Linked DNA regions of Callithrix jacchus. The protein of the gene in region 1 interacts with the protein of each later gene in a biochemical or structural test. Links are inferred from orthologs where the notes say so. Each region holds a gene or a part of one and is shown on either strand. Other genes may lie near its edges.

What was found.
Region 2: the proteins of WWP2 (region 1) and WBP2 form a complex in vitro, tested with the Homo sapiens proteins (4 studies listed by BioGRID, with this or other methods). The link is inferred for Callithrix jacchus from reciprocal best matches to the Homo sapiens genes WWP2 and WBP2.

What each region holds. Positions count from the first base shown.
Region 1 is NC_133521.1:27,516,060-27,519,865, forward strand, and holds part of WWP2 (NEDD4-like E3 ubiquitin-protein ligase WWP2), read left to right. Parts: intron 1-1,002; coding exon 1,003-1,162; intron 1,163-2,902; coding exon 2,903-3,036; intron 3,037-3,362; coding exon 3,363-3,503; intron 3,504-3,806. UniProt on the Homo sapiens protein: E3 ubiquitin-protein ligase which accepts ubiquitin from an E2 ubiquitin-conjugating enzyme in the form of a thioester and then directly transfers the ubiquitin to targeted substrates.
Region 2 is NC_133506.1:131,750,731-131,755,304, reverse strand, and holds the start of WBP2 (WW domain-binding protein 2), read left to right. Parts: upstream 1-1,702; 5' UTR 1,703-1,742; coding exon 1,743-1,801; exon of another isoform or gene 1,802-1,916; intron 1,917-4,410; coding exon 4,411-4,519; intron 4,520-4,574. UniProt on the Homo sapiens protein: Acts as a transcriptional coactivator of estrogen and progesterone receptors (ESR1 and PGR) upon hormone activation. In presence of estrogen, binds to ESR1-responsive promoters. Synergizes with YAP1 to enhance PGR activity.

The DNA.
Region 1 (3,806 bases):
CTGGCCCCGTGGATGGATTGTTCCTTTTTTCCGTGGTGACCTCCTCTCCAGGCTCTGCTTGGTGGGCTTCTGGTGTGGCCGCGCCCTGTGTGTGTCTCTCTCTGTGTCCTGCCAGTGGTTTTACCCTATGGTAGGTTACGTCATGCTGTTCTACCACAGGGTAGAACCACGGACAGGATACCGGGACACCCTCTGCATCGAAGGACTCCTCGTCTGCCCAGCCACAAACAGCCCAGCCGCCGGGGACTGGCCCCCTTGGGACGTCCCCTGGCTGGTTTAGCTCAAGCCCAAAAGGACTCTGAATTCATGCTTGAGGCTCGAAACCAGGGACTGGGTGTTGGTTCAGATGAATGCGTGGAAGTGTGGGCACGGGTATGGTGTGGGGGGTCTGGAGGTGAAGGGAGGGCAAAGTGTAAGAGAAGTGAGATGCCTGTGGCATAGTTGGTGGGGGTGAGGTTTCTAATCGGAAGACAGTACGGATGACATTTTCATGGATCAGGATTGGGAATGTGGTGCTGTGTATTTATGTTATGTTGCCCGTCCAGGTAGAGTGGAAGCAGGGTCGTTGCTATTCAAACAGAACCTTTGCAGAAAGATCATTGTAATAAACATGCATCGTGTCCTTGTGCAGTACACAGCCTATGCAGCTGAGCATGGTGACCCAGGGTACAAGGACCCCCTTTAGCATTAGACGCTCTGGATGTTGTGATGTAAAGTCTAGGAACAGGAACACATCACTTGGGAGCCAACAGGCACACGTTTTCCTGAACCTCATCCTCAAATGCACTTGCCACCCCACCCTGGTTCACTCTAGGTCTCAGCCTGCCCTGTTCACTGATCAGCTTTTCATATAGGTTAGCCCGGGCACTTGTCACGGGACTGGACTCCTTGGAACACGTGTCCGCAGACTACCTGAGACACAATGGAGGAGAGTCACAGCTCCTGTGCAGATGTGCACTAAGGGACCCGTTATTCTTGTCTTTTCTTTCTCTTCCCTCACAGAGAGTGGTTTTTCCTCCTGTCTCACGAGGTGCTCAACCCTATGTATTGTTTATTTGAATACGCGGGGAAGAACAATTACTGCCTGCAGATCAACCCCGCCTCCTCCATCAACCCGGACCACCTCACCTACTTCCGCTTTATCGGCAGATTCATCGCCATGGTAAGGGGGCCACAGGGGAATCTCCTCTTCCTCTGAGACCTCCAGGAAGGGGCAGCATTGGAGGAGGCCCTGGGCCTGTTCACCAGGAGGCAACGTGGCATGAATAGCAGCCCCTGTGGACTGGTGTGCCCTCTCTGATCCCCACCCTTCACCCCCATAGAACTCGTAAAGTAAAAATGCAAAAAGCTCCAGGCGCCGTGGCACGTGCCTGCAGTCCCAGCTACTCGGGAGGCTGAGGTGGGAGGATCGCTTGAGCCCAGGATTCTGGGCTGTAGTGCCCTATGCTGATTGGGCGTCCACACTAAGTTCGGCATGAATATGATGACCTCCCGGGAGCGGGGGACCACCAGGTTGCCTGAGGAGGGGTGAACTGGCCCAGGTCAGAAATGGAGCAGGTCAAAACTCCCATGCTGATCAGTAGTGGGATCGTGCCTGTGAATAGCCACTGCACTCCAGCCTGGGCAACATAGCGAGACTCTGTCTTTTAAAAATAAAATGCAAAAAGCTAGCGAGAGCTCTGGAGAAACCAGAGCTTTCCTCAGTGGCTGCCATATAGGTAGTGAAGTTTCCATGTTGCTTTGTATAGGACTTGTCAAGAGGAAGCCAGGGTCTCGGGGCCACAGACTTTACTGAACATTAAATATGTGCTCTGTTGAGGGCCTTGGGATGACAGGGCTGAGTGAAACCGTAACTGCCCACCTGCTGCCTGTCTCTGGGAGGTGACACTGTCCCGGCATTTGGGAATGTCCCACTGAGACACTAAGCCTTCTGGAAGGACATTTGGAATCAATGCTAGCTTAGAACGAAACCCTGGCAGACCGGCTGGTGCAGGGTGTAGGGACATCTGTTGGAATGTGGGCCATTTCTGGGGAGGCGTCACAGCATCGCATCTGTGTTTAACTGGAAAGAGGGACATGGTGTGAATATGGAAAGGGAGGTTCTGCCACGTGCCCTCTGTTGAGGGTCTTGAGAGTGTGAGAACCTGGATTGAGAAGCGGGGCCCGTGGGAGCCACAGCTTGGGAGCTACATTCATAGCTTGAGATGTTTCAATTCTCACTTTCCTTCGCCTCTTCCCCTGCCTTCCTGAGTGTCCTGCCCTGCTTCCCTGTTATGAGGACCCAAGCTCCCCAGGAGTCTATGACTAAATATGGCCCTTCCCATCGCCTGGGAGTTCTTGGCCAAGGTGCTGGGCTGTGGAAGTGGGCACATTTTTCCCAGGTCTAGAGACCCGCCTGGCCCAGCAGCCAACAGGACAGACCGGTAAAACCCTAGACTATTACTCACCATTGGCCGCCAGCTCTCGCCGTCAGCGGTGTCTGCATTATTTTTGGCTGTCATTGCCACCCGCCCTGAGCACCAGTGAGTCAGGGCTGCTGCCACCTGGAGCTGTTTGGAGCAAGCCTTTTCTGTGAGCATGGGACAGATCTTTGCTAGCCCGGGGCCAGCTGGCCAGTGCATGGGGCAGATGCAGGCCTGGACATGGGTACCCACGCCGGCCAGCTCGGCCCAGTCCCTGAGCTCTGCAGGGCAGGCTGGGGGCCACCTGCAGGTACAAGTTAGGACAAAGGTGTCGTTTACTCCCCTGGCCCTCCTGCTGTGCCCCTGAGGCAGCCGCTGCTGCGATTCTGTCAGGGAAGGAAGGCAGGTGGCTGTGGTGGGGTTTGATATGGAGCATCTGAGAGCTGGTCTGGTGGTGCCCAGGGAAGCCAAAGCTCTGTGCTGTGCCTCTTCCTTCCCAGGCGCTGTACCACGGAAAGTTCATTGACACGGGCTTTACCCTCCCTTTCTACAAGCGGATGCTCAACAAGAGACCAACCCTGAAAGACCTGGAGTCCATCGACCCCGAGTTCTACAACTCCATTGTCTGGATCAAGTGAGCCCCCTGCCCCCACCACCCCCCACACCCCACTGCACTGATAGGAGGGATGTCTCTGGGCGGGGAGTAGGTGCTGATGGCCTGGATTTTGTCTGCCAGAGTGTCCCCTGAGCTCTCATGCAGCTTTTATAAGAGCTTGTGGAGAGAATTGCCTTCTGTGGACAGTTCTAGAATTCTCTCCTTGAGTCAGGGAGCTGTTGCTTGTCACTCTTCTGGATTCTAGGCCACCTGTGAGGCCTTGGTGTCCCACAGGCAACAAAGCAGGACCCAGGAAAGACCCCGCCACTATAGACATCTTCCCGCTTGGTCTCCTGTGCCCCCAGAGAGAACAACCTGGAAGAGTGTGGCCTGGAGCTGTACTTCATCCAGGACATGGAGATCCTGGGCAAGGTGACGACCCACGAGCTGAAGGAGGGCGGCGAGAGCATCCGGGTTACGGAGGAGAACAAGGAAGAGTACATCATGTGAGTCTCTGGTGCCGGGGGACTCTGCTCCAGGAGTCCCAGCAGGTGGCAGGAAACCTAGCGGGTTGCAGAGAAAGATGGGCCGCCACCTGTGGCCTATGGGTCACTGTGGATCCAGGACCCTGCCATTTGCATCTGCCTCAATGGTGGCTACTAGCAGCCAGTCACATGATGGCACGAGCTGGGGGAGCCAGAGCTGAGGTCCTTAGTTACTAGCTCCAAGCTACACTTTTTCGCCACGTGAAAGATTTCAAGCCTGCTGGGTAGAATTTCTTTGAAGTCACAACAAGCTGAACTGTCTGC
Region 2 (4,574 bases), on another chromosome or scaffold:
CTTTTTTTTTTCTTTGAGACAGTCTTCCTTTGTCCCCCAGGCTGGAGCCCACTGGGGCAATCTTGGCTCACTGAAATCTCCACCTCCCAGGTTCAAGTGATTCTCCTGCCTCAGCCTCCCGAGTAGCTGGGATTACAGGCATGTGCCACCATGCCCGGCTAATTTTGTATTTTTAGTAGAGACGGAGTTTCTCCATGCTGGTCAGGCTGGTCTCAAACTCCTGATTTCAGGTGATCCGCCCACCTTAGCCTCGGAAAGTGCATGAGCCATCACACCCAGCCTGTTTTTATACAGCATTCTGTATATTTATACAGTATACTATATTCATATTTATACAGCATTCTGTATACTATATTTATTCAGCATTCTGTGTTAATAACCTTTGACAATCTTTCCATATCAGGACACAGTCTGACTTCATTCTTTTTAAAGACTGCAGAGATTGCAGGCGCCAAAATACATCTAATCATTGGGGTAGGTCTCAGTATCACCATCCTTAATCCACTGTACTTGTCCTGCAAGGTCCAACCTAGTCTTGCAAGGGACCTCGCAGAAGGCTGCTGTTTCCTGATCTTTTCTAGTGAGGCAGTTTTGTTCCTTCACATAGGGAGACCTCCCTGGAAAGCGAAGTCAAGCAGGTGGATCGCGAGGTTGGCCCCAGCGGGTCAGGAAAGCAACTGTCTGCTGAAAAGCCAACTCTGATCCTTAAGATTAACGAGTAGCGGAACCACCACGTTGGGAGTGCAGCCCCCTCTTTCCGCCTCACGGATTCAGCTTGGAAGTGCGGGGGTTTGTGGGGGGCGGTTAGGGAATGATAGCTGCCCCGTGGAGGATGCCCAGGGCTGGGTCACGAGCTGGCATGAGTCAGCCCTATTCTGTAAGTCCTAGTTATGAGGCTGCCGGTCTCGCGCCGTGCCCAGTCCCACTCAGCCTTCAATCTTCCGGCCGGGCCCCCGCTGGGCGCCCTTGAGGGAACCGCGCCACCGCAAGGGCGGCGCGGAGGCTGCAAGGGGCGCCCGGCCGGCTCGTGAACGTGGTGGAATCCAGACGGGGCGCACCGATCTCCCCTCCCGTCGCGGGACTCTCCCTGCCCCCGGGCTCTGGGCTGGGATTGGTGAGACGGATGACGGGGTGATCGGACGCCGCCAGCCACCGCGTCCCCAAGAGCCGGGGCCTCGGGCTCAGCTAAAGGCCCCAGAGTCACACAAGCGCCCCATAAACGTCTGCTGAGTGAACGAAGGCGCCCCATCTATCAGAGGACTGCTCGGCGATCCCACAGCATGTCCAGGTCGCACTCGGCCGGCTAAACCTCCCGGACGCGGGAGCAGACCCCCAGGATTGCGCCCCTGCCAGAAGGCTGTTTACTTAGGTTCCGCTAAGGAGGCGGGGTGGGGATGGCACAAGCCGATTGGTTATGCAAATTATGGAGCCAATTCCGGTCTATGGTCCAGGAGACTACAAGTTCCAGAATAAATCCTTCCTCCAGCATAGGGAGAGGTCGAGGTTTCCGGAGAGTTGCCTGCTGGGAATTGTAGTCTTCATCTTGTTTGTTACGCAGGCGGAACGGGGGAAGGGAGAGGGAGTAAACTATTACCACGTGACGCTCGGGTCAGGTGGTTGGGCCAGCCTCCGCGCTGGAGCTGTGATTGGCTGACTCTAATAACAAGACGCCACTAGGGGCGGGCCTAAGACGAGCGCAAGCGCACTGCCTTGTGAGTCTCGGGACCCCTGTCGGAGAGACTATGGCGCTCAACAAGAATCACTCGGAGGGCGGTGGAGTGATCGTCAACAACACCGAAAGGTGAAAACACTGCGGAAGGATCCTGGAGGACCAAAGTTCCGGTGTCGAGGAAGTGGGCGGCGGGCGGCGGGCGGCGGGGAATAAGCCCCTGAAGAGGGAGCGCTGATGGAGTGAGGTTGGAGGGGAACGGCTGGGGGCGGGGTTGAAGGAAGGTGGGTGGGCCGTGGGGGGAGGGCCGGGAGATTGCTGTCAGCTGGGAATTGGGGGTGGGACGACCGGTGGGGCCTAGGGTGATTCTTGAAACCCCTTCCCAGAGTTGTGAGTTTAGTAGCTGGGAGGATCCCCAAACAAAAATAATTGTCATTTATTGAACGTCTACAACGTTACTACGTGTCAGACTCTGCGCCTTTTCTACCTTGTTTAATAAAAATTCTGTGCGGTACAATCTACTACTGTCCACATTTCACAGGTAGGTAAAGTGGGGCACAGAAAGGTTAAGTAACTTGCCCGAAATCACAACTCTGTAAGTAACAGAGATGGCAATTCCAGGAAAGGAGTCTTGACTCCAAAGTTAATAGGATTAACTACCATCATACAGGCTTCCAGTATGTTCCAGAACCGATCAGGTTCCAGGTAAGAAACTGAGGCCCCAGAGGTGAAATTAAACAGGTGACGTTGATCAGATGTCTGACAGTTCCTGGCACTGTGTGGGTCCGTAAAGTCAGTCCCTTGCCTCTTCTCTTGAATGCCTGTTGGTTTGAGTCACCCCTGAAGGCAGAGGTCTCCTAATTCAAGGTTCTTTCTACTCCGCCCTCCCCACCCCTTGCTCATTGCATTCTGTCTCTCCTCCAACCTCTGGGCTCCTCAAATGGCTTCTCTCTCCTTTTGTTCCTTGAGTATTGAAAATCAGACCGTTCTGTGATTCCATGGATAGAAAAGGAAAAAAAAAAGTAAAGAAAATCAAACCAGCCTGGGTTGAACTATGCCAACCCTGAAATACCTCTTGAAGGAGCTTAGGAGGCATCTGCATCCCCAAAGGGGACATCAGAGCCCTGTACCCAGCTAAGGCCAGCATCCAGGTGCCCTGTGAGTTGGGAATGTTTGATGAGTCAGAGGAAAATGCCTAGAGTGACCCAGACCACAGGATGCTCACTTTCCGTCCATTTTACCTGCTCAGAGTGTGATGGGCGCAGCCTGTTTCTGGTAATTCCTTCTTTTCTCTGAGAGGTACTTCTCTTTTTTTTAATACCAGTGGTTTCCCACTTACCCTTCCCCTATCAGAGAAAGTTGTGATATGTGGGGGGAGGCAGAAGACAAACAGAACTGTGTGAATCTTTTTATCCTGTAATCAGAGACACCTCACATTGGCTTGTTGCATCTCTGTGTGAGTCAGTTCCCAGGCCCAGCCAGTTTTTCATACCATTTGGCAACATCTCTAGGGACTGTTGTTCTTTCTGTCTCTGTGGAACTTTCTGAGACAAGACTATCCATCTTGCTGGGCCTTCTACCTGGCTTAGAGCTCAGTCTTGCTAAATAAGGCGTGCCTTGTTTTAGAAAGTGCTTCAGCCTCCTGTCTGAATAAGTTGTATCTATAACAATTGAAGTTTAAATCCAGCATTCAAATTTTGATAATTAGGCCCAGCATGGTGGCTCACACCTGTAATCCCATCACTTTGGGAGGCCAAGACAGGTGGATCACCTGAGGTCAGGAGTTTAAGACCAGCATGACCAACATGGTGAAACCCTGTTTCTATTAAATACAAAAAAGTTGGCCAGGCATGGTGCTGCATGCCTGTAATCCCAGCTACTTGGGAGGTGGAGGCAGGAAGATCTCTTGAACCCAGGAGGTGGAGGTTGCAGTGAGCTGAGATCGTGCCACTGCACTCCAGCCTGGGCGACAAGAGTGAAACTCCATCTCAAAATTAAAAAATTGATAAATAGTGAACTTTATTCTTCAAGTCGTGAACTCCTTTGAGAATGATGAAAACTGAACTCTCCTCCCAGAAAATGCACATGTGACGTACACGATCATCTCAAGGGCTTCATGGACAGACTTTCCGGCAGAACCAGCTAAAAACCCAGGTTTAAATGAACCCTGAAGGTGGTCCTATTGTGATGTGTACAGTTATCTCTTAGACGTGTTTATATATTAGGCTTGAAAAGCAAGCCAATAAAAACAACATCCATCACAAGGACTTAAAAGAAAATAGAAGAGTTAAGCCAGCTCTTCTAACCTGCTTAGGGGATGATGGCCTCTCCAGAGCCCTGCGGCTCTGCTACAATGGTGATCGTTTGGGGCTGTGCAAGCAGGCTTTGGGAAATTTTATAGAACCCCAACCTGCTCATTTCTTCCATGGCTAGAGTAATGGGTTTTTTTGTTTGTTTGTTTTTAGTTTTTGTTTTTTTGTAGAGATGGGGTCTCACCATGTTAGCCAGTCTGGCCTCAAACTCCTGGGCTCAGGCGATCCACCCGCCTCAGGTTCCTGAAGTGCTGGGATTACAGGTGTGAGCCCCTGTGCCTGGCCCTGTGATTGGTTTTAATGCAGCACTGTTGAGATGGTTACGAGAGCTGATGTGCTGGACAGCTGCTTGGGAGAAAGGCCCAGTGTCTGGGTGATACCACATCTCCATACTGTCTGACCAAGGCTTTTCCTCTTTTCTCACCACAGCATCCTGATGTCCTATGATCATGTGGAACTCACATTCAATGACATGAAGAACGTGCCAGAAGCCTTCAAAGGGACCAAGAAAGGCACCGTCTACCTTACCCCTTACCGGGTGAGTTACACAGCAGGGCAACTGCTTTAGAGGCTTGTTGCTGCTGTTGGAGGTA